4 linked regions of the Pelodiscus sinensis genome follow. The protein of the gene in region 2 purifies or fractionates together with the protein of the main gene of each other region. This does not show direct contact. Links are inferred from orthologs where the notes say so. Each region holds a gene or a part of one and is shown on either strand. Other genes may lie near its edges. The genes, in order: SS18, BCL7C, DPF2 and ARID1B.

Region 1 (7,218 bases), on a different chromosome or scaffold from region 2:
GCTAAAAGTCAGTGAGAGCATATGCTGTTTGTTCCACACTTTTGCTAACAAAGTACTTCTAGCCCCCATGAGTGGCTTTTGCTTTGTCAGCAGGAGAGCTCTGGTGCTGACAAAGCAGTGTTCACACATGCGGACATGTGAGGGAGGTTCAAGGGGCCACATGCCCACTCAAATGCCACAGTAGAAGGGGAAGAGGATATTAGGAGGGATCGCCCTCCACTCACTGGTGGCCGTGGGGGAAAGTGGAATAACATGGCTTCACTCCCCAGAGGCTGCCACAGCCAGTGCTGTAACCAGCTAATTTTGCGCCTGAGGCAAGAATATAAAATTGCACCCCTTCATGTTTATATATTCATAGTAGTTATTTCGTAGAAAAAGGGAAAATAAACAATAATAATAAAATAATAATAATACAATGTTTATTTATTATAGTTGAGATCTGCATAACCAATCAATTAATACATATATATATATATATAATTATAAAATATCACCATGTCATGTACTATTAGGTAATCGTTTTTAATTGTACTTTGCACACTTTTTATGAGGCAAACCCATCAATAATTGTGTTGTAATTAATATTATTCGCTACCTCGTGTTCTATTGATAAAATGGGACATATTTGATAATCTCTCCTGACCTGTGGATGCTTGAAGGTAGTTCTTAATTAATTTTAGTTTACTAAAACTTCTTTCAGAAGAAGCCATAGTCACTGGCAAGCAGAGAAATATTTGCAGGGCGATTTCAAAATTTGGATAAGATTCGGCCAGACTATATTCATAAATTAACTGTAGAAGGTCCAAACTAGTTGCAGATGAAATGTTTGGCAACAGCGCTAATGCCTGATGTTTAAAACTCTGAATCTCTGACAAAATTTCCGAGGCATTCAAATCGCTGCCATATTTAAAACTTAAATCTGCTGCTTTTTGAAGATTAGTAGTATCCATTTTAACAAAAGAATCTCCTGATAAAAAAATTGAAATCCGAAGAGCTCTCATTTAGCGTTTCATATCTCCAGTTTTAATTCAAATATTATGCAGTTAAATATGCTTTTATTTGTATTTTGAATGATTCTTCAGCTGATAAATTAACACTTTCATCTTGTGACTCAAAGCTGTTGTCTTTTAACTTTTCACTTTCTGCATTCTGTAAATTCTGCTGATATTTCTATATTTTGGACCGTTTTTTTACAATCAGTAAAAATATCTTCCACATAGCTCTTGTTTCCATGGATCATCTTAGAAGCCTGACAAACAGAAATGCCTTTTGCTTGTAACGCTTTATTCATTCTGGCAATGTGAGTTAGAATATTATGCCAAATGGATAACTGCACAAAAACTCAAAATTAATTTTTTAAGAAAGTTATTAGCTGCTAAAACTGTTTCAGCACATTTAGATGAAGCAGCAACATCATTTAGGACCTTAGTAACTTCTGAAATCTGCAAATTTAAAGCTGCAATTGAATTTGCTTTTGATGCCCATCTAGTATCAGCATGACCTTTTAGTGATACTTTTAATAAACCCATTAAAATATTCCAGCGGGTGGTAGAATTAGAAATAAAAAGTGTTTATTTTTGTACAGTGCCAAAGAATGAAACCATAGAGGAATTTACAGAAGCTGCATGTACTCCAACGAAATTGAGACTGTGGGCCAAGCACGGTACACAATTTGCAAATTTATTTATTGCAGAATGACAGCTTTGATGCCTTTGTACATGCCTGACATATTTGCACCATTATTGTACCCTTGGCCTCATGCGTTTTGAAGATCAATTCCATTCTTTTCAAACGTCTTTACTATTTCTTTGGCTAATCCACTTCCTGTTTTTTCCTTGGTCTCAATAAAGTCTATGAAACTTTCTTCTATAGTTATGATTCTATCATCAATTTTCACAGCTCACAATCTGAGATATTTGATCACGATGAGGTATATCTGGTGTATAATCCAGAAGCATAGAATAATATTTTGCTTTTTTAAAATTTTGGATATAATTTCAATTCGAACTTGGTTTGCTATTAACCCAATACAGCCGGTCCCCGAGTTACGAACGGTCGATTTATGACCGTTAGCACTTATGACCAAACCTCCCATTAAGCGGTCGTAAAGGTGGTTCCCGAGTTACGAACGCAACCCACGCTTATGAACAGCGCAGTCGCATGTAACTTAATGGGTCCGACTTATGAACACTTCGAGTTACGGCCACGTGTTTGGTTTGTAACTCAGGACCAGGTGTAAACTCATTTTGGATAGCCAGTGAAAAAGAGCTCACCGAACCTTTTTGTGAGTTACAATATGTTGTTTTAGTTCAACATCATAATGACTTATAAATTCCATTAGATTAAGAAATATTCCCGAATTAGGGTTTCCTATAACACTACTCAATCCTCTAAGTGGAAGATTATTTTTGGCACAAAAAATCTAGAATTATTTTCACGATATGTCTCCATTTTTGCTTATCAGCTTCAATAGCTTTTTTGTAGTGCATCATCAATATATTCTCTACTCAATCTTTTTCGCATGGATTTCCATTTACAGAAATTTTCATGACGAATGCTTGAATTTTCATGCTCTACAATACGGTTTAAATTTTTCAAAGCATTAAATCTGCTGGTTTTCTGATTTGCAATATTCAGTTTGGAAAAACGCTGATCAAATAATATGCATGGAAAACAAAAAAATGGCCTTACTAGTTTCAGAATAAATAAGCCAATTGCGCTCTAAAATTCTTCATTATAAAGCACTTTTTAAAACCAATCACCTGAAAATTTTTGGCCCTCTGATGATACTGATTCATGAAAATCCATGGTTTCTCTCTCGCCAGGTGCTTGTTCAATAAGATGGCATCTTATTTTGTCATTTATAGAGAGCCAAGATGGTGGATTGTTAAAATTTATTTATATTACAGTTGAATCTTGTTGATAGTCCTGGTCATTGTTAATGTCAATAATCATAATTGGTGACAAAGTTGAGACCTTGAGATTGAGCTTTTGGTCAATCTCAGAGTCAGAGATTGATGCTGAAGCTGTAATGTCAAGTTCCAGTTGCTGGTCTGTGGTAATAATCAGTACTGAAGTTGTATGATCATTGTCATCCGAGGGTTCAGCTAATGGTGCATTTTCAGTATTCAGTGCATTTTCCACTAGCCATTTCCCCATTTCTCTCAACATCTTTTCATTTTTCTCTCATGGTGAATTTTTGTCATTTAAGAAACTCTGCCCCAGAAGGTCATTTCCATTTGGAATTCATAATGTAGGATCTTTTTCTGAGTGGCCTAAATTCCGGCCTTGTTACGGCTCAGATGCAAAGCATATTTTACTACACCACCACTCAAGGGAGAGATGAGACACTCCCCTGCCCCACACCAACCAGAAGCAGAGCGACTCTGCTGGCGCTGGGATTGCAGGTTTGTGTCACTCCCCTTCCCCTACCTCCACCACCAGCTGCTAGTCAGTGCAGAGGCCTGGACCCCTGCAACGGTGCCCGACCACCTACTAGTCCCCCAAACCACATCACTGGGGCGGGCGGGAGAGGTGGGACAGGGTCCAGGGCAGGAAAGGGAAGAGGCTCAGAGATGTTATCCCGTCCCCCTCCTTCAGCAGTCTCCCCGGCACCTTAGTCGCTGGGGAATAGGGAGGTTAAGAACCTATAGACAACAACATTGCAAGTGCAGACTTTCCCCCTCCAGCCCCAGAAGCGACACCAACGTGAGTGCACGACTCCTGAGCAAGTCAGTTCCCAAATAAAACCACCTGTCCCTGCGCAAGTTGCAGCAGCTCCCGCCCGGACCCTTTAGAGGGGCCAGGCTCCTGCCCCAGCGGAGGGGATGGAACGTTCCCGGGGCCGGGACGCAGCAGCACGCGCTCCCAATAAGTCTCCTGCCCTCACTGCAACTTGCACAAGCCCCGCCCCGGGTCGCTCAGCCCAGGAACGTAATGACTAGGCGCAACCAAGACTGGGCGCGGGGGAGGAGGGGAAACGAGCCACTTTCTCCTGTAAAGTGAGCACTTCCAGCTCCCCCAACTCCCGGCCGTACCACTTGCAGCCTGTCTCAGGCTGAGAGCTCTGGGTAGGAGTGTACCATATTAGCAGGGGGGGCGGAATGCGCAACGAAAAGGACGCGCTTAAAGCAGGCAAGCGGCTGCTTCCTGTCAACGAAGCTGCTGCTCGCTAGGGGGAACGGGAGGGTCCCAGTTGTCGCTGGGGTTGCCACATGCGGTCGGAAGGCGGAGGGCAGTGGCAGCGAGGCTTGCACCCCCTCTTCTCGATCGGGATGGGCTGGCCCTGCGAGCCGTCACGCCCCCTCCCTCTCGCGGCGGTGAATGTTCTTCCCTGATCGCAGCCTCCTCCCGTCGCTGCTTGGCGCGCGGCCGGGGCGCTGGACCCTCGTGCGCGCAGGGAGCCGACATGTCGGTGGCGTTCGCGGCCCCGAGGCAGCGGGGCAAGGGCGAGATCACGCCGGCCGCCATCCAGAAGGTGAGGGAGGGGCCGGGCCCGACACGGGGCTGCTTCCGGCCCGGCCAGGGGGCGGCGACTGGCGGGGGCTGGAAACACGCCGGGGCAGGGCTGTGGCGCTAGGGGCGGAGGGCCCCCTGGGGAGGCAGGAGTGCGGGGGGGGGGCTGCGGAGGGGCCCCTGGGGAGGCAGGAGTGCGGGGGGGGGGGGGGGAATCTTCCCCAGGTGTGCAGAAGAGCCCTGGGCGCCTCCAAAGCGTCTCTCTTTCACCCACCCAAGTTGGTTCAATAGAATATTTTAAACACCATCTCCCCCCCCCCCACCATACACACACACACACACACACACTGCCCGCTCCACACCGTGTCTCTTAATTGGGGTAACGGGTCAGGCCAATAACTACCCCAGAGGTGTGTATTGGTTAACTGTCATATCTCACCTTTTGGGATGAACAGGCTTTTATCACTTCGGTCTTTGTCCAGTGCTTATTGGTGAGGTTAGACAAAACTACAGCGTCTCAATTTAGTTTTATTGATCCCTTTAAAAAAAAAAATCTTGCCTAGTAAGGAGGAGAGGTGGTTTGAGCAGAGCCTTGAGACTTAGGGTGCCCCTTAAGATTGTGATGGGCAAATACTGGCCCACAGGCTAGACTTGATCTGCCATAGTTAGCCTCCGATGATCGCTTTTCCCATCGGCTGTGAATCACTTCTTCCTGGCCACTGGGAAGGGTGGGTAAAGGTGTGGCCTGGACACTGCTTCCCACATCTCCCATTGGCCGGAACAGCAATCTTCAGCCAGCAGGAGCTGTGATTGCCAGTGCCTCTGGAGACACAGGTAAATATAGCGGAGGAAGCCTGTCAGGGTATAACCCACACTGTTTTATTGCTCACCCCTGCTCTAGGTGCTATTATAGGCACTGCTGATATCTTGGTATGTGCTTCTGTGATTAAAGAAAATCACCTCACTGTTTACCCCTTTCTCTAGAGCATTTATAAATAAGTTGGATAGAATTAGTCCCTGGACAGACCCTTGGGGGACCCCACTAGTTGCCTCTCTCCACTCAACATTTACCATTTATTGCTACCTTTAGTTTCCTTTTAACCAGTTATCAGTCCATGAAAGTACTTTCCCTCTAAGAATACTATATCCACTGCATCCCTCTTGTCCACATGCTTGTTGACACCACTCAGAGAACTCTAGTAGATTAGTTAAGGCATGATTTCCCTTTACAGAAACCATGTTGTCTTTCCTTCAACAAATTATGTTCATTTATGTGTCTGACAATTTTAGTTTCAACTAATTTGCCCGGTACTGACATTAGACTTACCAGTCTGTAATTTCCAGGATCATTTCTAGAGCCCTTTTAAAATATTGGTGTCACGTTAGCTATCTTCCAGTCACTAGGTACAGAAGCCGATTTAAAAGATAAATTACAAACCACAGTTAATAGTTACGTACTTTCACATTTGAGTTCTGAAAGAACTCTTGGGTGAATGCCATCTGGTCCCAGTGACTTGTTACTGTTAAGTTTATCGATTTGTTCCAAAACCTCCTCTGGGACAATTACTCAGATTTGTCACTTAAAAAGAATGACTCAAGTTTTGGGAATCTAAGACCGAAGCAAAGAATTCATTTAGTTTTTCCACAATTACCTTATCTTTGAGTGCTTCTTTGGCATCTCCATTGTCCAGAGGCCCCACTGGTTGTTTAGCAAGCTTCTTGCTTCTGATGTACTTAAACATTTTGCTATTACTGTTTGATTTTTTTTGACTAGCTGTTCTTCAAACTCCTTTTTGACTACTTATATTTTTTACACTTAATTTGACAGAGTTTATGCTCCTTTCTATTTTCCTCACTAGGATTTAACTTCCACTTTTTAAAACATTGCCTTTTTATCTCTTACTGCTTCTTGGTTATGTCAAGTCATGGTGGCACTTTTTTTGTTTCTTTTACTGTTTTAAATTTTGGGTATACATTTAAGTTGGGACTCTATTATGGTGTCTTTGAAAAGTTTCCATTCAGCTTGCAGGGATTTTACTTTTGTCACTGTACCGTTCAATTTCTGTTTAACTAACCTCCTCATTTTTGTTCCCATTTATGAAATTAAATGCCATAGTGTTGGACTGCTGAGGCATTTTGCCCACCACAGGGATGTTAAATTTTATTACATTATGGTCACTATTTCCAAGTGGTCCAGTTATATATACCTCTTGGACCATATGCTGTGCTCCACTTTTGACTAAATCAAGATTTGTCTCTTCCCCTTGTGTATTCCAGAACCAGCTGCTCCAAGAAGCAGTCATTTAAGGGATCAAGAAATTTTATCTCTGCATCCCATCCTGAGGTGCCGTGTAATCAGTCAATATGGGGATAGGTGAAATCCCCTACTATACTGAGTTTTTTATTTTGATAGCCTCTCTAATCTCCCTTAGCATATCATAGTCACTATCACTGTCCTGATCAGGTGGTCAATAATATATCATTACTGCTATATTCTTATTATTGGAGCATGGAATTACTACCCATAAAAATTCTATGGAATATTTTGGCTCATTTCAGATTTTTACTTCACTTGATTCTACATTTTCTTTCACGTATAGTGCCACTCCGCCATGAGCATGACCTGTTCTGTCCTTCTGATGTATTTTGTACCCTGATATGACTGTCCCCCATTGATTACTTTCATTCCACCAAGTTTGTGATGCCTATTATATCAATATCCTCCTTTAATACGAGGCACCCTAGTTCACCCATCTTAATATT
Region 2 (7,329 bases):
CCCTAGGGCCGTGGGGGAGGGGAGCCGCCGTCCCGTCTCTCCCTGGGCGGGCAGCCCGCCCCACGCTCCTTAGTTTTACTTCGTGAGTCTTTGCGCCCCTGATTAGGAGGCACCCGGGGCCAACGCCCCACCCTGGCAGGGGGGAGCCTCCGGCATAAACACATTCCTGAGCCGGCTTAAAGGGGCCGTGGGGCGGGAGGGGGGCACAGGTCCCGTGTCTCCGTCCTACACCCCTCTGGCCTCGCCCCCTGCTCCTCCCGCCCCCAGCGCTGCAAAGCCCCCTCCCCGAGGAGGAAGTAAGTGGGGGCGTCACGGTGCCCTGCCCGGCAAGAGCCAGCAGGGAGCTCTGGGAAGGGCTGGCAAGGCCCTGGGTTGCAATAGAACAGTACCTGGAAGAAACTCAGTTCCTTTCCCCCGCCCCCCGGCCCTCCACCCCCATATTCCCATTAGTCAGCTTTGGAGAGAGATGGTGGGGCCTAGTGGTTAGAGTGGGGGAGGCTGGGAGCCAGGAGTGCAGCGCTCCAGCCCAGCTTTGGGAGGGAAGCGGGGTGCAGTGGTTAGAGGGGTGGCTGGGAGCAGGGGTAACACCTCGGACCCTCCCTATGTGACCCAGCTCTGCGGAAATCCACAGACCCCCCCACCCGTCAGCAGGGGGCTTCTGGGCTTTCCTAAGCCTCTCTACGTGCAAAGACAGGAGGCAGCGAGGTACAGGGTCCACCGAGCTGCAGGTACACACCCCCAGCTGCGCCCCCAGCCCTGCCGGTGCCCCTCATTCCCGCCTCCCAGCCCTGCCGGCGCCCCTCACTCCCGCCCCCCAGCCCTGCCCCCAGCCCTGCCGGTGCCCCTCACTCCCACCCCCCAGCCCAGCCGGTGCCCCTCACTCCCACCCCACAGCCCCCACAAGCCCAGCCCTGCCCCTCACTCCCGCCCCCCAGCCCTGCCGGCGCTCCTCACTCCCGCCCCACAGCCCCCACAAGCCCAGCCCTGCCCCTCACTCCCACCCCCCAGCCCCCGCCAGCCCAGTCCTGCCCCTCACTCCCACCCCCCAGCCCCCGCCAGCCCAGTCCTGCCCCTCACTTCCACCCCCCAGCCCCCGCCAGCCCAGTCCTGCCCCTCACTCCCACCCCCCAGCCCCTGCCAGCCCAGTCCTGCCCCTCACTCCCACCCCCCAACCCCCGCCAGCCCAGCCCTGCCCCTCACTCCCGCCCCCCAGCCCCCGCCAGCCCAGTCCTGCCCCTCACTCCCGCCCCCCAGCCCCCGCCAGCCCAGTCCTGCCCCTCACTCTCGCCCCCCAGCCCCCGCCAGCCCAGTCCTGCCCCTCACTCCCGCCCCCCAGCCCCCGCCAGCCCTGCCCTGCCACTCACTCCTGCCCTCCAGCCCCCGCCAGCCCTGCCAGTGCCCCTCACTCCTGCCCCCCAGCCCCCACCAGCCCAGTCCTGTCCCTCACTCCCGGCCCCCCAGCCCTGCCCCTCACTCCTGCCCCCAGCCCAGTCCTGCCCCTCACTCCCACCCCGCAGCCCCTGCCAGCCCAGCCCCCCCCTCGTTTCCCTCACTCCAGACCTATAGCCCCCCCCCCCGCAGCAGGTTCCTGCCCGTGGGCGGCTGAGGTAATGGTGACCCCCCCAGCCTGCTCCAGGGTGAGTCACCCCAGCACAATGAGCTCAGTGTCTAACCCCAGGCCCCTCCATTGTAATCCCTGCTGAGCTACTGCCAGGATTAAAGGGGGGGGAAGGGGTAGGAGCCGGGACTCCTGGGTTCTGGGTCTAGGAATTGCAGCAAGGTGGGGAGGCCGGATATCCGGGCTCTCCCCTGACTGGGGGGGTCCTGTGGTGGGGGACAGGACACCAGGGCTCTCTCCTGACTGGGCAGGGATCTAGTGGGGGGGCGGGGAGGCAGTACACCTGGGTTCTTCTCTGGCTGGGGGCAGGATCTAGTGGGTGGGGGGTGGGAGGCGGGACACCTGGGTTCCTTGCTGGCGGGGGGGGGGATATAGTGGGGGGGAGGCCAGACACCCGGGTTCCTCGCTGGTGGGGGGGAAATAGTGGGGGGGAGGCCGAACAACCAGGTTCCTCGCTGGTGGGGGGGGATATAGTGGGGGGGGGGAAGGCTGGACACCCGGGTTCCTCGCTGGTGGGGGGGGATATAGTGGGGGGGGGGAAGGCTGGACACCCGGGTTCCTCGCTGGTGGGGGGGGATATAGTGGGGGGGGGGAAGGCTGGACACCCGGGTTCCTCGCTGGCGGGGGAGGGATATAGTGGGGGGGAGGGATATAGTGGGGGGGGAGGCTGGACACCCGGGTTCCTCGCTGGCGGGGGAGGGATATAGTGGGGGGGGGGGGAGTCGGACACCCGGGTTCTTCGCTGGTGTAGGGGATATGGGGGGGGCAGACATCCTCTTCCTCGCTGGCGGGGGGATATAGTGGGGGGGAGGCCAGACACCCGGGTTCCTCGCTGGCGGGGGGATATAGTGGGGGGGAGGCCAGACACCCGGGTTCCTCGCTGGCGGGGGAGGGATATAGTGGGGGGGGAGGGATATAGTGGGGGGGGGAGGCTGGACACCCGGGTTCCTCGCTGGCGGGGGGGGAGGGATATAGTGGGGGGGGGAGGCTGGACACCCGGGTTCCTCGCTGGCGGGGGAGGGATATAGTGGGGGGGGGGGGAGTCGGACACCCGGGTTCTTCGCTGGTGTAGGGGATATGGGGGGGGCAGACATCCTCTTCCTCGCTGGCGGGGGGATATAGTGGGGGGGAGGCCAGACACCCGGGTTCCTCGCTGGCGGGGGGGGATATAGTGGGGGGGGTGTCGGTCACCCGGGTTCCTCGCTGGCGGGGGGGGGGGAAATATAGTGGGGGGGGGTGTCGGTCACCCGGGTTCCTCGCTGGCGGGGGGGGGATATAGTGGGGGGGGTGTCGGTCACCCGGGTTCCTCGCTGGCGGGGGGGGGATATAGTGGGGGGGGGTGTCGGTCACCCGGGTTCCTCGCTGGCGGGGGGGGTGTCGGTCACCCGGGTTCCTCGCTGGCGGGGGGGGATATAGTGGGGGGAGGCCGAACACCCGGGTTCCTCGCTGGCGGGGGGGGGGATATAGTGGGGGGAGGCCGAACACCCGGGTTCCTCGCTGGCGGGGGGGGGGATATAGTGGGGGGAGGCCGAACACCCGGGTTCCTCGCTGGCGGGGGGGGATATAGTGGGGGGAGGCCGAACACCCGGGTTCCTCGCTGGCGGGGAGGGGGATATAGTGGGGGGAGGCCGAACACCCGGGTTCCTCGCTGGCGGGGGGGGGGGGATATAGTGGGGGGAGGCCGAACACCCGGGTTCCTCGCTGGCGGGGGCGGATATAGTGGGGGGGGCCGAACACCCGGGTTCCTCGCTGGCGGGGGGGGGATATAGTGGGGGGGAGGCCGAACACCCGGGTTCCTCGCTGGCGGGGGGGGGGGATATAGTGGGGGGAGGCCGAACACCCGGGTTCCTCGCTGGCGGGAGGGATATAGTGGGGGGGGGGCCGAACACCCGGGTTCCTCGCTGGCGGGGGGGATATAGTGGGGGGAGGCCGAACACCCGGGTTCCTCGCTGGCGGGGGCGGATATAGTGGGGGGGGCCGAACACCCGGGTTCCTCGCTGGCGGGAGGGATATAGTGGGGGGGGGGCCGAACACCCGGGTTCCTCGCTGGCGGGGGGGATATAGTGGGGGGGAGGCCGAACACCCGGGTTCCTCGCTGGCGGGAGGGATATAGTGGGGGGGGGGGCCGAACACCCGGGTTCCTCGCTGGCGGGGGGGATATAGTGGGGGGGAGGCCGAACACCCGGGTTCCTCGCTGGCGGGGGGGGATATAGTGGGGGGGAGGCCGAACACCCGGGTTCCTCGCTGGCGGGGGGGATATAGTGGGGGGGAGGCCGAACACCCGGGTTCCTCGCTGGCGGGGGGGATATAGTGGGGGGGAGGCCGAACACCCGGGTTCCTCGCTGGCGGGGGGGATATAGTGGGGGGGGCCGAACACCCGGGTTCCTCGCTGGCGGGGGGGATATAGTGGGGGGAGGCCGAACACCCGGGTTCCTCGCTGGCGGGGGGGATATAGTGGGGGGGGCCGAACACCCGGGTTCCTCGCTGGCGGGGGGGATATAGTGGGGGGGGCCGAACACCCGGGTTCCTCGCTGGCGGGGGGGATATAGTGGGGGGAGGCCGAACACCCGGGTTCCTCGCTGCCGGGGGCGGATATAGTGGGGGGGGCCGAACACCCGGGTTCCTCGCTGGCGGGGGGGGGGGATATAGTGGGGGGGAGGCCGAACACCCGGGTTCCTCGCTGGCGGGGGGGAATATAGTGGGGGGGTCGGGGTTGTGGGGGGGCAGGGGGTGCGGGACCCAGCCCGGCTCGCGGGGGTGCGCGTGTCTCTTGCGGAGAAGCCGGAGTCCCGCCCCCCAGGCCCGCCCGGCCCCGGCTCTGCCCGCGGAAGCCCGAGTTCGCTTCCGCTCCGCCTCCCGCAGCGAGCTCGGTCGGCGCGGGGCGGTTCTGCGCGGAGCCAGGGCCAGCGAGCCGGACCCGCGCGCAGTGACCCGCCCGGCGCCCCGGGGTCCCGTCCCCATGGCCGGGCGCACCGTGCGGGCCGAGACCCGCAGCCGGGCCAAGGATGACATCAAGAAGGTGATGGCAGCCATCGAGAGAGTGCGCCGATGGTGAGCGGCAGGGTGTGCGGGAGACGGGCGGCCTTGTGTGCGGCTGTTCCCCCGGGTGCCCTGCCCCAGAGCTGGCTGCATCTCAGAGCCGGGTGAGCTAGCCCCATGCGGCGTTATGTGCGGCCGTTCCCCTGGGTGTCCTGCCCCAGAGCTGGCTGCATCTCAGGGCCGGGTGAGTCAGCCCCCACGGCGTTATGTGCGGCTGTTCCCCCGGGTGTCCTGCCCCAGAGCTGGCTGCATCTCAGAGCCGGGTGAGTCAGCCCCCGCGGCGTTATGTGCGGCCGTTCCCCTGGGTGTCCTGCCCCAGAGCTGGCTGCATCTCAGAGCCGGGTGAGCTAGCCCCACACGGCGTTATGTGCGGCTGTTCCCCCGGGTGTCCTGCCCCAGAGCTGGCTGCATCTCAGAGCCGGGTGAGCTAGCCCCACGCGGCGTTATGTGCGGCCGTTCCCTCGGGTGCCCTGCCCCAGAGCTGGCTGCATCTCAGGGCCGGGTGAGCTAGCCCCACACGGCGTTATGTGCGGCTGTTCCCCCGGATGCCCTGCCCCAGAGCTGGCTGCATCTCAGGGCCGGGTGAGCTAGCCCCACGCGGCGTTATGTGCGGCCGTTCCCCCGGGTGTCCTGCCCCAGAGCTGGCTGCATCTCAGAGCCGGGTGAGTCAGCCCCCGCGGCGTTATGTGCGGCTGTTCCCCCGGGTGCCCTGCCCCAGAGCTGGCTGCATCTCAGGGCCGGGTGAGTCAGCCCCCGCAGCGTTATGTGCGGCCGTTCCCCCGGGTGCCCTGCCCCAGAGCTGGCTGCATCTCAGGGCCGGGTGAGCTAGCCCCACGCGGCGTTATGTGCGGCCGTTCCCCCGGGTGTCCTGCCCCAGAGCTGGCTGCATCTCAGAGTCGGGTGAGTCAGCCCCCGCGGCGTTATGTGCGGCTGTTCCCCCGGGTGCCCTGCCCCAGAGCTGGCTGCATCTCAGGGCCGGGTGAGTCAGCCCCCACGGCGTTATGTGCGGCCGTTCCCCCGGGTGCCCTGCCCCAGAGCTGGCTGCATCTCAGGGCCGGGTGAGCTAGCCCCACGCGGCGTTATGTGCGGCCGTTCCCCCGGGTGTCCTGCCCCAGAGCTGGCTGCATCTCAGAGCCGGGTGAGTCAGCCCCCGCAGCGTTATGTGCGGCTGTTCCCCCGGGTGCCCTGCCCCAGAGCTGGCTGCATCTCAGGGCCGGGTGAGTCAGCCCCCACGGCGTTATGTGCGGCTGTTCCCCCGGGTGCCCTGCCCCAGAGCTGGCTGCATCTCAGGGCCGGGTGAGTCAGCCCCCGCGGGGTTATGTGCGGCTGTTCCCCCGGATGCCCTGCCCCAGAGCTGGCTGCATCTCAGAGCCGGGTGAGCTAGCCCCATGCGGCGTTATGTGCGGCTGTTCCCCCGGGTGTCCTGCCCCAGAGCTGGCTGCATCTCAGAGCCGGGTGAGCTAGCCCCACGCGGCGTTATGTGCGGCCGTTCCCTCGGGTGTCCTGTCCCAGAGCTGGCTGCATCTCAGGGCCAGGTGAGCTAGCCCCACGCGGCATTATGTGCAGCCGTTCCCCCGGGTGTCCTGTCCCAGAGCTGGCTGCATCTCAGGGCCGGGTGAGCTAGCCCCACACGGCGTTATGTGCGGCCGTTCCCCCGGGTGTCCTGCCCCAGAGCTGGCTGCATCTCAGAGCTGGGTGAGCTAGCCCCACACGGCGTTATGTGCGGCCGTTCCCCTGGGTGTCCTGCCCCAGAGCTGGCTGCATCTCAGGGCCGGGTGAGCTAGCCCCACGCGGCGTTATGTGCGGCCGTTCCCCCGGGTGTCCTGCCCCAGAGCTGGCTGCATCTCAGAGCCGGGTGAGCTAGCCCCATGCGGCGTTATGTGCGGCCGTTCCCCCGGGTGCCCTGCCCCAGAGCTGGCTGCATCTCAGAGCCGGGCGAGTCACCTCCACGCGGCCTTGTGTGTGGCTGTTCCCTCGGGTGCCCTGCCCCAGAGCTGGCTGCATCTCAGAGCCGGGCGAGTCAGCCCCACGCAGCGTTATGTGCGGCTGTTCCCCCAGGTACCCTGCCCCAGAGCTGGCTGCATCTCAGGGCTGGGTGAGCTAGCCCCACGTGGCGTTATGTGCGGCTGTTCCCCCAGGTACCCTGCCCCAGAGCTGGCTGCATCTCAGAGCCGGGTGAGTCAGCCCCACGCAGCGTTATGTGCGGCCGTTCCCCCAGCTGCCCTGCCCCAGAGCTGGCTTCATCTCAGTGCCAGGCGAGTCAGCCCCAGGTGGTGTTATGTGCGGCTGTTCCCCCAAGTGCCCCACCCCAGAACCAGATGCATCTCAGCGCTGGGCCAGCCAGCCCCATGCAGTCTCGCTGGGTGGCTTTCCCCATTTATCCTACCCCAGAGGTGGTGCCATCTTCTTTAAAGTAACTCCTGTGGCCAAATGCAGGAGCAGGCTCTTAATTATGGCAATTAGTTATTCGTCCATTATTTAATTATTGTGTGTATTGTTCACCTCCCTTTCTCTATGGAAATTGCTTCTGAGATGTGACTAGCTGTCAAGTTCTTTACTCTGGATAATATGTCAGACAGTCATCTGCTGGACAAGAGAAGATAACAACTTACTATTGCTGCTCTTTAAGGGAGTCTGTATTTTAACTTGGGGAGGATGCGATTGGAGGGTTT
Region 3 (7,685 bases), on a different chromosome or scaffold from region 2:
CCTTCTCTGACAGATCATTACAGGTTGAACCTCTCTAGTCCAGCACCGTTGCGATCTGACTGGTGCCAAACCAGAGAATTTGCCTGATCATCAGAGGACAATATTGTCTAGCAGCATTACCAACAATTCCACTGCTTACTGGGCTCTAGAAGACATTTAAGAGTAAATTAGAGCTAAGTAACAGCACAGAACACTGGAAGCCAGGACTGTGGTGGCCGTAAACAAACTTTATGGGACCGTGGGAAACTTAGCCACACACCCATGATAAGTGAACACGGGGCTAACTAAAATCATCCCAGATCACGGATGCTGCCGGAACAGAGAGGTGCCGGACTAGAGAGGTTCAACCTGCAGTTACAAAAATGCCACGAGAGACCATATTAGCCTAGCAGCACAGTGCGATGGGGAGGGATTGGCATAGCAAAGCAGATGGGCTTTGGGAGCAAGGCCAACCTTAAGAAGTTCTTTATTCCAGGACGCCCAAGATATTAGCTTTGTTAGTAGCCAATAATGTGCCAGCATACCTGCGATATCTAGGTGCCAGGCAGTGCAAAGTCAGGCTAGTGGCAGGTATTCCTATGGCAAGCACCTGCTGCTGGCTAAGTTACAGAACGCCAGTGACACCGTGCAGCATTTGAACTTGCTCCTTGCCTTGGCCAGTTGGAGAGGAGAGAATCATCCAAGAACACGGGGGAAACTAAAGAAGGTAAAGGTAGGACCAAACTTCTGAACCCATAAAACGAGTCTAACTGTAAGAAGAAAACAACAAATGGTTTGGTAGCATTTTACAGACTAACAAAACATGTCTATAAAGTGCTACCAGACCATTTGTTGTTTTCTTCTGTAACAAACTAACTCAGCTACCCCCTGAAGCTCCTGTAAGAAGAAAGTAATGCAGGTTAGTGGCTAAGATGTGGCTGAGCATCAGAAAAAAATGGGTTCTAGGCTCTTCCCCTCCCTTTGCCAGTTCACTGTTTCCACTAACACCTTTTATCTGCTCTGTGGGTTTACATGGTATACTTTTTGGAGCAGGGTCAATATCTGTCTGTACAGTGCCAGGCACAGTAGGATCCCATTCTCTGTTAGGGTCTCAAGTTGCTACTGAAATATAAATAATAATGTAACAAATACTTTAAAAGAGGTAGTGGGCTTAAATGGCAGCAAGAGTGGTTTAAATTGGACATTAGGAAAAACTTCCTGTCACATTAGTTAAGCATTGGAATAAATGACCCAGGGAAACTAAGGAATCTCCACCACTGCAGATTTTTAAGAGCAGATGACAAAAACAGCTGTCTGGGTTGATCCAGGTACTTTGACCTACCTTTTGGGGTGAGATGGAAGTTTCCCTTTGGGCCAAGTAACCTCATATTTGTCTTCTACAAATTTCTTGCATCTTCCCCTGAAGCAGCAGGAACTGGGCAATGTAGAGGCAGGATCCTGGACCTGATGGTAATTTCAATATTCTTACATTGGGCTAGATTCTGCTCTCAGGAACAAAAGAGTAAATGGGGTCCCATGGAATTACTCTAGATTTACATAGAAAGAACTAAGTGGAACATCTGTGTGGTTACCCAGCTATCGCCATACCCTGCCTGCTTCTCATTTACCCCAAGGCTCTTATTGCTCTGCTGGTGTCAAGAGGTCTAATGTAAGAATCAGCCCTTTATCCCCTCATCTGGAACATGACATCTATTCAAGCATCTCAGTTTGCCAAAGATATTCTAAAGATAGTTAATTATAAACTTCACAGTTGGTTTCTAAAATTATGTAAGACATGTTGCTGGATGTAGATGGTGCCAGATGTAGATAGTGCTAGATGGAGACATATAATATAGGTGTAAAACAAACCCTCCTGGGGACCAGCAGAGCTTTATATAGACGATGATGGGTAAATGATACCCTGAAGTCCAGCTCCAAATGTAAAAGGCAGTTCCAGACACCCACAGCTTGGTTTAAAATGTGAGAGCATTAATTTCCCCCCATCCCTCTTGTTGCAAGCCCAAAGAGCCAACTTCACAAGTTTTACTGATTACAGATTTCACACACACACCCTTGGAATCAAATCCCCTGGCAGTGAACAGCTGGAATGAGACAGGAGGGGATCCCATTTCAGTGCCAAGCCCGCTGCCTTCAACAAGGAAGAAAAGTGGTAGCAGCGACCAGCCTGCAGAGCAGGAAAAGGCTGCCCTCCTGGCCCCCAGAGCTAAGACTCTGACGCTTTCTAGGTACTGAAAACAACGCTCAAACATTCTGGGCCTCATGGTCGCACCCTGACAAACAGGGAAACTGAGGCAAAGGAAAATATGCCACTACCACACCCCCGCCCCCACCCCAGGGAGCCATTGCAGTGCCTGTCCTGCCTCCCACAGACGGGAAAGGAACCCAGGAGTCCTGCCTCCCAGCCCCACTCTGCTCTAACCGCTCGACCCCACTCCCCTCTCACGAGAGAGACCGGAGCCCAAGCGTCCTGACCCGACTCGCGCCTCGGGAGCAGAACCCAGGAGTCCCGACTCTCCGCCAGCTTCGAGCTCCTTGGCAAGTGAAACTGCTGCGGTGGGTTAGGCGGCACCGCCAAGCACCGACCGCCCCGCGCAGCCACTCCCTACCCCCCCCCCCTTCCCGGCTCACCCTCTGCCCCGGCGGCGCTGGCGGGGGGACTCCTGCTCCGAGCTGCAGCCAGCGACCGAGTGAGCGGCAGCCGGGCTCTTCCTTCCCCACCCTGCTCCTCGAGCCAGCGCACCAAGGGCTGCCCCCCCTCCTCCGCGCTGCCGCGCGGGCCAATGCTAGAGCTGCACTGCAGCCCGCCGGAGAAGCGGCCTGCAAACTCCTCCCCGGGCCAAGTGCACGAGCCAGCCCCAGCGAGCGGGCAGACTGATTCGTGGAGCGCGCTAGGGCAGGCTTTGGGCTGCCCGTCCAGAAAGGGCTGCAAACGGGGGCGGACTGTTTAGTGGTGAAACTTGCCCTCCTCTTTCCCGCATTCTCAGAGGGCGGCGTCAGCTGCATGCCTAGAATGACCAGTGCCCCCGGCGTCCACGGGGACGGATCGTGCACAAGATGCAAGAGGAAATGTAGGAGCTTCCTCCTGGGATTGAAGGCTAGTTTTCCGTATATCTAAGGAGCATGGTTTATCTGTGCATAGTATCCATAGATCGTCTCTGGATAAAAAGGCGTGGAGAGAGCGTGAATAAGATGCCTAGATAAAAGATACAATTTTCAAAAGCTCATAAGTGACTTAGGAGCATGCATCCTGTTGAACGTCAATGGGACTTTGCTGCTAAGTGATTTAGATGCCTTTGAAAATTCTTCCCAAAAGAATTTCAATTTCTGTACATAAAAGGCAGATCCCCTGGGAATTAAGGGAAAAGATTGGCCCTGTGCCTAAACTCTGTACAAGAGTATGGAGTCCCTGTGTATGAAATGCATGGCTTGTGGGTAAGAGATGGACTTTAAGAGGTCCCTAAGTAATTTAGGAACACAGTCCCATTGCCATTCAATGTCACTTCTGCTCCTAAATCACTTAGGTGTTCAGAAATTTGAGAGTCAGAATTATGAGACTGTCTTGAAAATCATGAGATTCTTTTAAAAATTAATTGCAATTTTTTTAAAATTTACCTTCTGCATTCTGAATATTTCAGATGCTCTCATTTCCAACTTCTCTACAGCCATTAGGGTTAGACACTTACCTTTTATTCTTCTTAATGGAAGCTGAGATTCTCACGCATTCTCTTGATTCCAGTCAATGTGACTTTAGGGAAACCACCAAAATCACAAGAATCGTGAACAAATCACAAGAGTTTTTCAACACTGCAAAATGCATGCACCCTCAGTTAACAAAATGCACAGATTGCCACAGCATAAAAAGTGCTGAGTCTCAAAGAACAAAATGCATGGTTTATGCATGAAGTGCTTGACCCAATATGCCTGCTGAGTGTTTCCATTGACTTCAAGAGGCTTTGGATCAGACCCAGAGTGCATGGATTCTCTAGGGATCCAGTGCACAGAGCTAAGCAAATTAGTCATCTAGCTAAATAAAAAGTATAAATCAGTATGCCTGACATCTCTGTAATTTCTCGGCCAACTTTCACTGGACAAGCTGCTCGAAAGATTGTATTTAAGTTGAGCCTTTGCCAACCCCAGCTGGAAATAGCCTGAGTATTTATTTACATTAAAAACTCATATTGTATCTCCATCTTCATCAGCATTAAACAGTTTATCTGCATAAAGAAGATGCACTGATAAAGGTTTGGTGATGCACCCATTTGGATAAACCGTTGAACTAGCCCTATGAGATTTCTTCTTGTGTAGGCCTAACAGAGGCTCTGGGGGCATGTCTACAATAGGAAATTATTTCAAAATAAGTTATTTCAAATTAAACTCCCAAAATAATAATTTCGAAATAGCATGTCCACGCTATGAGGAAGCCTCAAAATTAGTCCGAGGCAGGCTCCGTTAATGTGGATGTGCTACCTTGACTTAGAGGCCCACGAAGCACTGGGGAATAATTACTTTGAATGACTGGGAAGTAGATATTTCAAAATAGCAACAGTGGAGCGTCCCTACTGCTATTTCGAAATATCTATTTTGAAATAAGCATCAATCCTCATGGAAAGCAGGAGTTAGTATTTCAAAATAACCAGACTTATTTCAAAATAACGGACTTAATAGCGTGAACGCTCCACTTATTATTTCAAAATAAGAAGAGTTATTTCTAAGTAACTCCCTAATGTAGACCAGGGCTGGGAGATTAAAACTCTGTACCAGATCCTTAGTTGCTGTAAATTATAATTCAGGCCAATGGCGTCTGATCTACTTTAGTTGAGGATTTTAAGAAGAATGTTCTTACTTTTTGTCATTAGCAACACGTTAGGTTATTAGAGGAAAACAGAGGTGTACAAAATGGATGGACTAGAAGAAGATGAACAGAAGAAAAATGTAACATCTACAGAGTTGCCAGATGGTTTCAACAAAAATATCGGACACACTTGACATTACATCACAATCTACATTACATCTTATTTAGAAAATACTGGACATTTATATTTTCTCATTTATATTCTCTCAATTTGTTTCCCAAACAGAAAGCTCAAATACTGGACTGTCCGGTTTAAAACCGGACACCTGGAGACCCTAAACATCTACACTGGAATTTTCATAAATTCATAGAGTTTCAGTCTGACCTCCTGTACATCACAGGCCAGTCAATGTCCCTCACCTACTCCTGCGGTGAGCCCAGGATCTGGTTTTTGACTAAAGCATAATTTAAGAGGCTATACGCCATCTTCTCGAAAGGCATCCAGTCTGGATTTGCAGACACATCCCATGGGACTTTGTCAGTGCCAGACCGAGCCATACTTGCGCCCCGGGCAGCAGGTGCGCGGCACACGCGCGCCCTACCCCCGGGCACGAGTCACCTAATTGACATGGTAAGGGGCGTCGTGCTCCCAGGCGAGCGGCACATGCGCGGCCACACCCCCGGGCGCACCGCACCCCTTACCACTTCAATCAGGTGCCCCCCAAAGGTTGGCACCCCAGGCAGCTGCCCAGCTAGCCCCCCTGCTCAATCCGGTCCTGGACTTTGTTCCAATCACCTTTTGTGGTTAATTGTGCCTAATTTCTAATTTGAGTTTGTTTGACTTGAGCTTCCAGCCATTGGTTCTTGTTCTGCCTTTTCAGCTTGGCTAAGAAGCCACTTGGTACTCTGATGTTTCCTACCTATGTCACACTGTAATCAAGCCACCTTTTTGATAAACGCATTGAGTTCTTTCAGTCTCTCCTTGGCAGGAAGTGTCTATAGCCCTCAAATCAGTTGTGCGCCTCTTTTCTGGACCTTCTCCAATATTCCAACTTCCTTTTTAAAATGTGGACACTAGAATCAGGGTCACTGAGAGCTGCCAGCTCTTAATAATTTTATTGCAAAACTTGAAAAATGGGATGTTTTCCTTAAAGCCTATTTCTCTAGTCATGTGATTACACAAGACTCTCACATTTCATTTTTTTAAAAGGACATTTCTAACCCTCCTAGTTCAATTCTTGAAAACATTACCTCTAAAAAGCCCCAAACCACATTTATTTATGCAGGGCCACAAATCACTCCAAGGAGAAGATGCTGTTTGTTTTACTCCTGGCAAACGTGACACTTTTCTGAAGCGATAAAGGCATCAGAAAGTTGGCAAACAGACACTCCACACAGTCCCAAGGTACTGTGTCTTGCTGGGTTTCTACATGTTGGCAGACTCACACAGTGCAAAAAACACTTTGGAGGTTCCTGTGAGGTTTATATCAGCCACTCTGTCCAATTAAACATTTGTTACAAATGCTGATTGTTTTCTCACACTGCCCATCCAGCCAGACAGATAATTTAAAATAAAAGCCTGTAAACGAGATTATCTGTGCTGTGAATTTGTCTCTCTATCCAAACCAATAATTTACAGGGCTGCCAAAGGAAGTCGCAGGAGCACCTATCCCATTGCTTGTGTTGTTACAAAATACGGGTGCCATCTGCTGCAGCAAAGATGCTGCTCAGTATAGCTGCTGGGACACAGACCAGAGTGTCTGCCAGGGCAGAACATGGTGACCGATAATGATCCTTTGTCTGCCTGGAGTGTTGTCATGCAAGCATCTCAAAGTATTTCCCATTGGGGGAAAATGGTGCTTTGACATTACTCACCAAGTCTACACTGCAGTTAGACAACCATAGCTGGCAGCTGACACAAGCTATGGGGCTGTTGAAATGTCATGGTTTCAGAGGGGTAGCCGTTTTAGTCTGTAACCGAAAAAAAACCCCTCTTAAAAACAACGAATAGTCCTGCAGCATTTTATAGATGGTATCATGAGCTTTTGTGGGCACAACCCACTTCTTTGAGAGGTGTTTGGGGCAGAGCCCAGGCTCTGGTACTTTCCCACTTCACAAAGCCCAGGCTACGCCCAAGCCCGAAAAGTCCACACTGCATTTAACAGCCCAAGTTAGCTCACATAGGCCAGCTGGGAGGGTTTAACTGCACTGTAGACATCTCCCAAGTCCGTGGTCCCCAACACGGTGCCCGCGGGGGCACTTCCATGCGCCCGCCAGGTGCTCGGGGCTGGCCTGGCACTGGGCGCATGGCGGAGGGAGTGCCGGCCCCGGGCGCGCGGCGCTGGCGGGGGGGAGCGCCGGCCCCGGGCATGCAGCTATGGGGGGGGGCCGCCCCCAGGGCGCAAGTGTCCCTGCCCCCTGGCGGGCGAACAGCCACGCCCCCTGGCGCCCGACAACCTCGAAAGGCTGTCCTAAGTGGTAGAGTTGGGAATGGAACTCGAGTGTCCTGGCTCCTAGCTCCCTATTCTAATCACTCCTGGTCACATACCTTGCTTGCTATATGGACCACATTGCTAAAGAAGCTTATTTATTTTGCCAGCACTTCCTAAGCTCAGTGATCATTTCTGAGAACAAATACATGGATTTCAGAGGAATTGGAGGCAGAAAGTGAAAGCAACATAGTCTAACTTGTGGTTCTCAAACAATTTAGCATCGTGGGCTACTCTGCAACTCACAATGTAGTTCCTGGCCCACAGATTGAGAACCACAGTGAACAGCCCAACAGCCCCACCAGACCCCCATGCCCAATGCCCTGGCTTGCCTATCAACTTCTCCACAGAGTGGGGCCAGGAGCAGATGCCAGGCACAGGGCAGGGGGCAGCCCCTACCCTCC
Region 4 (7,404 bases), on a different chromosome or scaffold from region 2:
TTGTAAAACGAGGTTTTCTGCGGTCAAAAAAACTGCCGCGCTCTTTCGATTTACTTTTGAAAGAACACCGCAGCAGTCTAAATGCAGGGAAAGTTGGTTTTTTTTAAAGTCCACTTTTTTGAAAAAACCGTGTAGTCAAGACACACCCTTACATAGCAACAAGGGGAGAAAGGAAATGTTAAGTAAAGGAAAAATGGAAAACAATAAATGACAAGAGGATTTTGAGGGCTGTAGTACCTGCAACTACATTTTTCACTTAAAACAAAAAACAACACTGATAAAGATAATGTGACCATGAATTACCATTCTTTTGAAGACAGGATGTATGGCTTTTTCTTACACTCCCAAGAAATACAATGTTGTTTCCAAACAATGGCACAGGAAACAAAATTCTTAGGGTGTTCTATCAAAGTTCATAGATTTCAGAATGAGAGAACTCGGCAGCCCTCCATTAGTGCGAAGTGTAAAGCTGTTTTGTTTTTTTTTTAAATTGCTCATGCTGTTTCACTGAAGTACAGAGCTTCAAAAACTATTCATTAAAAAAGCCTCAGTTCAGCAAACCACTTTAACCAAGCTCTTAACTTGAAATAAGTGAATAATCTTAGTGATTTCAATGGGATTATTCACGTGTAGAATTAAGCACATGTTTAAATATTTTACTGTTTTGGACCTAAATCTTGCAGGAAAACAATTGTTCATATAATTCCCTAATGAAATAATGAATGATTTTATTGAAAAGAAGATAGTAATGTTCTGGAGGCCTTTTGGTTACGCACAGCCAGAATAAATTGATTAAACTCCCCATTATAAGTGGTATCTGAAAAACGGATTTTAATCAAATGGCAAAATGTGTCACTCTCACACATTAGGCTTTTGGTAAACACTGTGTACTTCAAAATATATTAAGATCAGATAGGATGAAATATTGTACTTTACCTAAGCAGATTATTGCATATTGTCCGTTACTCGATTGTAATAGTTCATACATCCTATTAATTAATAATATATAAAATCAATATAGGTAATAAAAATTAGTGATGTCTCATTGCATTTGTTCTGTGACTTACAATGCAGACTTCACCTTGAGATTCACATAAAGCTAAACCAAAGCACAGTACTCTGTACTTATGTGTGTACGTGTATTTTAACTCTTTTTGTTTTTTGTTTTGTTTAGGATCTGATCGCTGTCCTAGTGAAACCAATACATTTATTTCAATATAATTTGGATAGGGCCTTTAACCAGTGAAAGAAGTGTTAATTTAATAATTCTGAAAATTTAAATCTTGGTTTTTTATGGTCCCCCCCCCCTTTAAATCACTGCAAATCTATAATAACTAGAATAGGGAAAATATGGTGAATTTGTGATCTGCGTTACCTAGATGTGTAGGGGAATTAACTAGAAGACCAAACTGTTAAATCCAAACAGAGACTTCAAGCAAAATAATGTTGCAGAGTACAGTGGTTAACTGGGTAGGACACAACAAAGTGGCAAGGTGGTAAAACTCTGGTTGGGCCATTAATTTTTAACCCTTACTATAAAAATATAGAACCCCAAAACAAAATGGTTATTTTCTCTACCTTCTCTAACAATAAGACCATAGCATTGTCAAAATATTGGCTTATACTCTATATAACATTCAGAAGCCACTGTTCTGACCAAACAAAAAGATAGCTGCTTTAGTGCTGTGAAATGTGTAGGGCTTTCATATTGGACCAGCTATACAGAGATGTCTTGGGAATCTATATAGATGTCATAGTGCAATAAACAGTAAATTTAGAAAAATATATTGTTAATCCTGGAAATGGATCCCAAATAAAGGAGTTTTAAATTTATCAGAAAAATCAACATCCAGCATACTACAAAGCATATGAAAGAGAAATTGTGTTTAATTAATATACATTTATAAAAAATGCAGTTGAAATATAACATTCAAATCATGTATTTGTAGCATTAAGCATTAGATTTCATAATTTTGTAACAGACACCACGCATGACAATTACAGCTTTTCACATTATATGCCTATATATATTTTTAATTTGTACAACAGAGAAAGCTTTTGGAAAGGATCATATGAATTGAACATACACTACCACTCATCAACTGAGCAAAGATGGTACAAGATATTTCAACATTATTTGTGATCTAAAAAACAAAACTGAACCATAGTTGCTTTGTGTTGTGCTTCACTTGCACAGACTGCAGTGCCTTCTGTCTGCTTTCGGGTGTGGCATCTGCCATTGGGGAGGAAAAACTGGCATGTGTTGCCTTTTATAGCAGACTGATTTCATTGTGTTGAGGGCCTCTATTTTACAGTCTTAATTCCAATCTTGTAGCTGAGTTGTTAAAACAAATGTAATGAAAAAGACCGAGAAGAATAAACTTTTCATTTTTTGAGGTTCATTATTTTCCCCAGGAAAAATATTTAAAAAGTAAATCAGCATTAAACTTCGTGGCTTTTTTTTTTTTATTCAGAACTAGTGAAATGAGTCAAAGTATTGAAATCCTCAAAAGAGCTACCTTCAATACATCTTATCAGATTTGTAAATATATATATATATATATATATATACTTATATTTTTGCTTTAATATAAGTGCCCAAAAGCATAAATGTGTAATTGATTTTATATTTTATTGTAGAATATACATATAAATAAATATGCACAAGAAGACATCTATATTTATATTTGCATATGAAAGCCTTAAAAATCAACCTATGTGGTTTAATGTGTATAATTAGTATGTGTTTGAATATAAAAAAGAAGAAAATCCAGGAGAAAATGTCAAAAAAGCTCACTAACAAAGATGTAGTATTCTCTTGGCAAAAGCTGATGAATGATTTGGCATGAATTCATCTTACAGTTCTGTTACTCTCTCTTCTACAAAGATGATATACCCCTTTTCTAGCAGTTTGCATAGAACTGCAATTTGTTGTTGTTACAGACTGTAATGACCCTTGGGAACGCACCTGATTCCCCCCACTAGAATTATTCACTGATTTTTTTTCTACTCTATCAGTTTCTATTAACTATTTAGCATTTTTGTACTTACAGAGAGTGCAAAAACATAAACAAAAAAAAAAGAGAAAGAATTAAAATAGAACTAATATCAACATGTAGTTGAATGTTGAGACTTTTACAAAGTAGAACCATGCTGGAAAATTCAATGGACATTGAACTCACATTGTTCATACATTTATCAACATGCTGTCATGAAGAGTCTGTTCTTTAATGTTTTCACAGTGGAAATAAAAAAATCCCACTTCCTACTCATTACATCATCATTTATGACAAGTTATGTTTTATGTTCTGTCAGTATTAAAAAGTCTATTTAGTGAGCTGAAAATGCTATTTAACAGATTTTAATAAAATATTTATTTCATATAACATTTTAGATTCTTATTAAATTGTCTAAATACCATCAATATCCTGTCTTACTTGTGTCCATGGAAGAATATTTAATTTTCCAACTACTTTTATTAGCTGAATGTGGTGTTTGACTGTTACGTTTTCCTGATCAAGTTCTTACTTATATTAAGACAATTATTTTAAAAAATTAACTAGCAATAGCTGGAGAAATCTGCTATATAAATCTAAGTCATTAGGAGTAATGGTTGCTTTGATTATATATTGTATTTTATATTACTACATTTTCATGAGTGTCTTAGATATACTAGAAAATAATGTTGTTTCGGGACACAATTATAGGACTTTCCTTGGGAGCCTTGTAATCTGCATATAAATACGAGAACATGTTCCAAAAAGCTCCATACGTAATGCTTATATTAAAAACATCATTAGCACAAATGATCATTAGAACTTTGAAACAGCTGGACACTACAGATAATTTAAAAAATGCCATTACTACTGAATTTTGTGTTAATTTGAACATTTTACAAGTATTTTTATTTTTCCATAAAACAATTTGTAGGCAATACATTTTAGTGTCTTGAAATCAGAAAACCTTAGACTGCCTACTGGCTTGAAAAACAGAGAAAAGATTTTGAAAGTTTGACCAATTTTTTTTTTAATCCAATAAAATATATTGCCAACAATGTGTTGGATTTTCTCTTTGTCTACTAAGCTGTTATGATGAGCACCTTCAGCTCTCACCCCAAAAATACATGGGCAGAAAGCCAAATTAATCCATGATGTAACAACTTTTACTTCAGTTGAATTACACCAGGCCTGAATTTGACCCACCCAGTGATGCTTAGTTGTCCTTTTTGGGTAAGATCATTTGTAGCAATCAGTTTAATATTCCATTCTCTGTGGAAGACTATAACCTAGATTTGCAAGGGAGTTGAGTGATAGATTTTTTCCATCTCTAACTACTACGATGCTTGACGGGCACAAAATACAAAAAGGGAGCGTACATCCTTTTGCATTAGCAGAAGCAGCTGTCTTGGTTCGGGGCTGTTGAAGGTTGTAATGCGCGTCTCTCTCTGACTGCCACCGCTAAACCTGCTGCAGGAGGAGGAGGGGAAAGTCCAGTCCGCGTTTTCCAAGTGTACAGGAGTAATCAGAGAGAAGTGGATAATAGTTGTTAGAGCTCGCTCTCTCTCTCATGCCATGCTGGGCCAGATAGGCTCAGTCAGACGTGTATTTACCCATATCCGGGTTAGAGAGGAAAAGAAAAAAAAGTTTCATTTAAACCTGAACAAAAAACTTTCAACATGAAATCACACAGCAGGAACAGGCACAGACCGTAAGACATTCTTACTGTTTCTAATCTCAATCACGGACTTTGGGGAGGGGAATTTTTATATATATTTTTTGTGTGTGGAGTGATCAGGAGGGGTTACTGTTTATTCAAATAAGTTGGTCCCCCCCCCTTTCTCTTTTTGCCCTTCTCCCCTCCTTTGCCCACCCTCCCACCCCGTTTCGCTTTTATTTTATTTTTGAGGGTGGGTGTTGGATTTTTGCTTTCGGACTGGCAATGTTGCAATGATCATGGCCGCGCAAGTAGCAGCGGCTCCGGCGGGTGCGAAGAACAACAAGGGCAAAACCCCGAGTTTGCCGGGCAACTTGAGCCAGGATCTCAACTCGGGGGGAGCAGCCGCCGCGGCCACCGGGGGACCCGGAGCGGGCTCCATGCTGGGGGTCGGAGATGGGACTAACAGCAGCAGCAGCCTGAATAATGTAGATCACCATCTCCTCCACCACCATAATGAACTGAACATGGCCAATAATGCAACTTCTGCTGCTGCTGCCACCGGTAATAACAACAACAACAACGCCAGCACCAGCGGCAGCAGCAGTAGCTCCTCTTCGGAGTCGGCTCTGAAAGAAGGTGGAAGCTCCTCGGGGTTACCTTCATCTTCTTCTTCCTCCGCCTCTAACCCGGGCTCGGCCATGGAGACGGGGCTGCTCCCCAACCACAAACTGAAAAACGTTGGAGGCGATCACCCTGCCGCACCTCCCCACCACCACCATGCCCACCACCCGCATCACCATGCCCACCACCACCATGCCCACCACCCGCACCACCACCACCACCACCACCACCATGCACTACAGCAGCAGCTAAATCAATTCCAGCAGCCGCCGCCGCCTCAGCACCATCCGATGCAGAATAACAACAGCCTCGGCGGCGGCAGCAACAACAACAACGGCGGTGGCGGCGCTGCTCAGCCCAGTGCAGACATGGAGCAGCAGCAACATGGAGGAAAAGACGGTGTTTTGGGAAATCAGGCCGAGCCCCCTCCGCCGCCGCCGCCGCAGCAAATGCTGAATAAAGGGGGCGAGGAGGAAGAGCTGCCCGGCAAAATGGGCGAGCAGATCGGCGGCCGCTACGAGCACCCCAGCCTGGGACCTTTGGGCGGGCAGCAGCAGCCGCCTCAGAGCGCTGGGAGCGGCGGCGGCGGCACTAGCAGCCTCGGCGGCGGGAGCGGGAGCGGGGGAGGCGGCGGCCCCTCCGCCGTGGGTGTCTCGGAGTTTAATAGCTATTACGGCAACCCTGCCCCTGCCAGCAGCGCTACAGCGAGCCGAGCCGGGCCTTGCTTTGATCAACATGGCGGACAACAAAGCCCCGGGATGGGGCTGATGCACCCCACGGCGGCCCCCAACAGCATGGACCCCCTGCAAAACTCCCACGAGGGTTACCCCAACAGCCAGTACAACCACTACCCCGGCTACGGCCGGCCCGGCGCCGCCGCCGCAGCGGGAGGAGCGGCGGCAGCAGCAGCAGGAGGAGGCGGCTATGGGGGCTCGTCCTCTGGCTACGGGGTGCTGAGCTCCCCCCGGCAGCAGGGCAGCAGCATGATGATGGGCCCGGGCGGAGGGGCCAGCCTGGGCAAGGCTGCTGCGAGTTCTGGGGCTGGAGGCTTCCAGAGATTTGCCGGGCAGAACCAGCACCCGTCCGGAGCCACCCCTACCTTGAACCAGCTGCTCACTTCCCCCAGCCCCATGATGAGGAGCTATGGCAGCAGCTACCCTGATTACAGCAACCCCAGTGCCCCACCACAGCAGCAGCCGCAAGCCCAGGCAGCAGGGGCAGTCCCGGGAAGCCAGCAGGCAGCAGCGGGCATGGGCATGGGCAAAGACATGGGCTCCCAGTATGGAGCTGCAAGCCCAGCCTGGGCAGCAGCACAACAAAGAGCTCACCCAGCTATGAGCCCTGGAAGCACTGGTCAGACCATCAGCAGAACCCAGGTAAACCACCAGACACCCCCTCACCCCAAAACACTCCCCACTTGTATGTTTTGAATGTGTGTCTAGTGCTTTAGTTTCTCTCCAATTTACTTTTCCTCCTCTCGGCCATATAAACTACTTGCTGCCTCCATAACAGGGTTTGGTAAGACACAGTGTCCGATTGATTGGAGGCATCCGACAAATGGTTTCACTGTGCAGAATTGCACTATTCGCTTACAAAATTGAACTGTATAAAGTTTTCCTCCAGTTTGAAACAGATTTGAAGATAGAAGGCCCCGAGGAAAAGCAGTTTGGGTGAGGAGGGAGGAGTTGCTTTTGTAACTACACTGTCAGATTCTGGAAAATAACATTGACTGCCCTCTATTAGAATTTTTTTTTTTTTTTAGACCAAGCAGATAACTTTGATACCCTTTTAACAAATTAGTTGTATTGCTGATGAAGACAGTATGGTGAAATCCAGCAAAAATACAGCCAGGTTGCCTTGGCTCTTGGAAGGGTGAGTGCCATAGTCAAGAAGGTTTATTTGGTAGGCGTTGAGGTGGTGTATTCTTCTTTTATATTTGCCTCAAGCATCCAACCGGGATGAGATGAAAATAAGTGTTATTTGTAAAGTGAATATAATACATAAGTATTATTATTCCCTTTTTGAAATAATCCATACTTTGATGAAGAGACTGGAAGAATCCTTTATTTAAATAAACAGAACCAGATATTGAGAGCTCTGCTTGTTTTGACTAATATACACATCCCC

Evidence for each region.
Region 1: the proteins of BCL7C (region 2) and SS18 purify together in Homo sapiens (affinity purification with mass spectrometry; 3 studies listed by BioGRID and IntAct, counting the BioPlex papers as one, with this or other methods). This does not show direct contact. The link is inferred for Pelodiscus sinensis from reciprocal best matches to the Homo sapiens genes BCL7C and SS18.
Region 3: the proteins of BCL7C (region 2) and DPF2 purify together in Homo sapiens (affinity purification with mass spectrometry; 4 studies listed by BioGRID and IntAct, counting the BioPlex papers as one, with this or other methods). This does not show direct contact. The link is inferred for Pelodiscus sinensis from reciprocal best matches to the Homo sapiens genes BCL7C and DPF2.
Region 4: the proteins of BCL7C (region 2) and ARID1B purify together in Homo sapiens (affinity purification with mass spectrometry; 4 studies listed by BioGRID and IntAct, counting the BioPlex papers as one, with this or other methods). This does not show direct contact. The link is inferred for Pelodiscus sinensis from reciprocal best matches to the Homo sapiens genes BCL7C and ARID1B.

What each region holds. Positions count from the first base shown.
Region 1 is NC_134712.1:76,224,294-76,231,511, forward strand, and holds the start of SS18 (protein SSXT), read left to right. Parts: upstream 1-4,208; 5' UTR 4,209-4,408; coding exon 4,409-4,477; intron 4,478-7,218. UniProt on the Homo sapiens protein: Appears to function synergistically with RBM14 as a transcriptional coactivator. Isoform 1 and isoform 2 function in nuclear receptor coactivation. Isoform 1 and isoform 2 function in general transcriptional coactivation.
Region 2 is NC_134714.1:134,097,273-134,104,601, forward strand, and holds the start of BCL7C (B-cell CLL/lymphoma 7 protein family member C), read left to right. Parts: upstream 1-4,320; 5' UTR 4,321-4,577; coding exon 4,578-4,669; intron 4,670-7,329. UniProt on the Homo sapiens protein: May play an anti-apoptotic role.
Region 3 is NC_134721.1:34,379,270-34,386,954, forward strand, and holds the start of DPF2 (zinc finger protein ubi-d4), read right to left. Parts: upstream 3,019-7,685; 5' UTR 3,004-3,018; coding exon 2,629-3,003; intron 1,444-2,628; coding exon 1,322-1,443; intron 1-1,321. UniProt on the Homo sapiens protein: Plays an active role in transcriptional regulation by binding modified histones H3 and H4. Is a negative regulator of myeloid differentiation of hematopoietic progenitor cells. Might also have a role in the development and maturation of lymphoid cells.
Region 4 is NC_134713.1:111,317,200-111,324,603, forward strand, and holds the start of ARID1B (AT-rich interactive domain-containing protein 1B), read left to right. Parts: upstream 1-4,391; 5' UTR 4,392-4,946; coding exon 4,947-6,653; intron 6,654-7,404. UniProt on the Homo sapiens protein: Involved in transcriptional activation and repression of select genes by chromatin remodeling (alteration of DNA-nucleosome topology).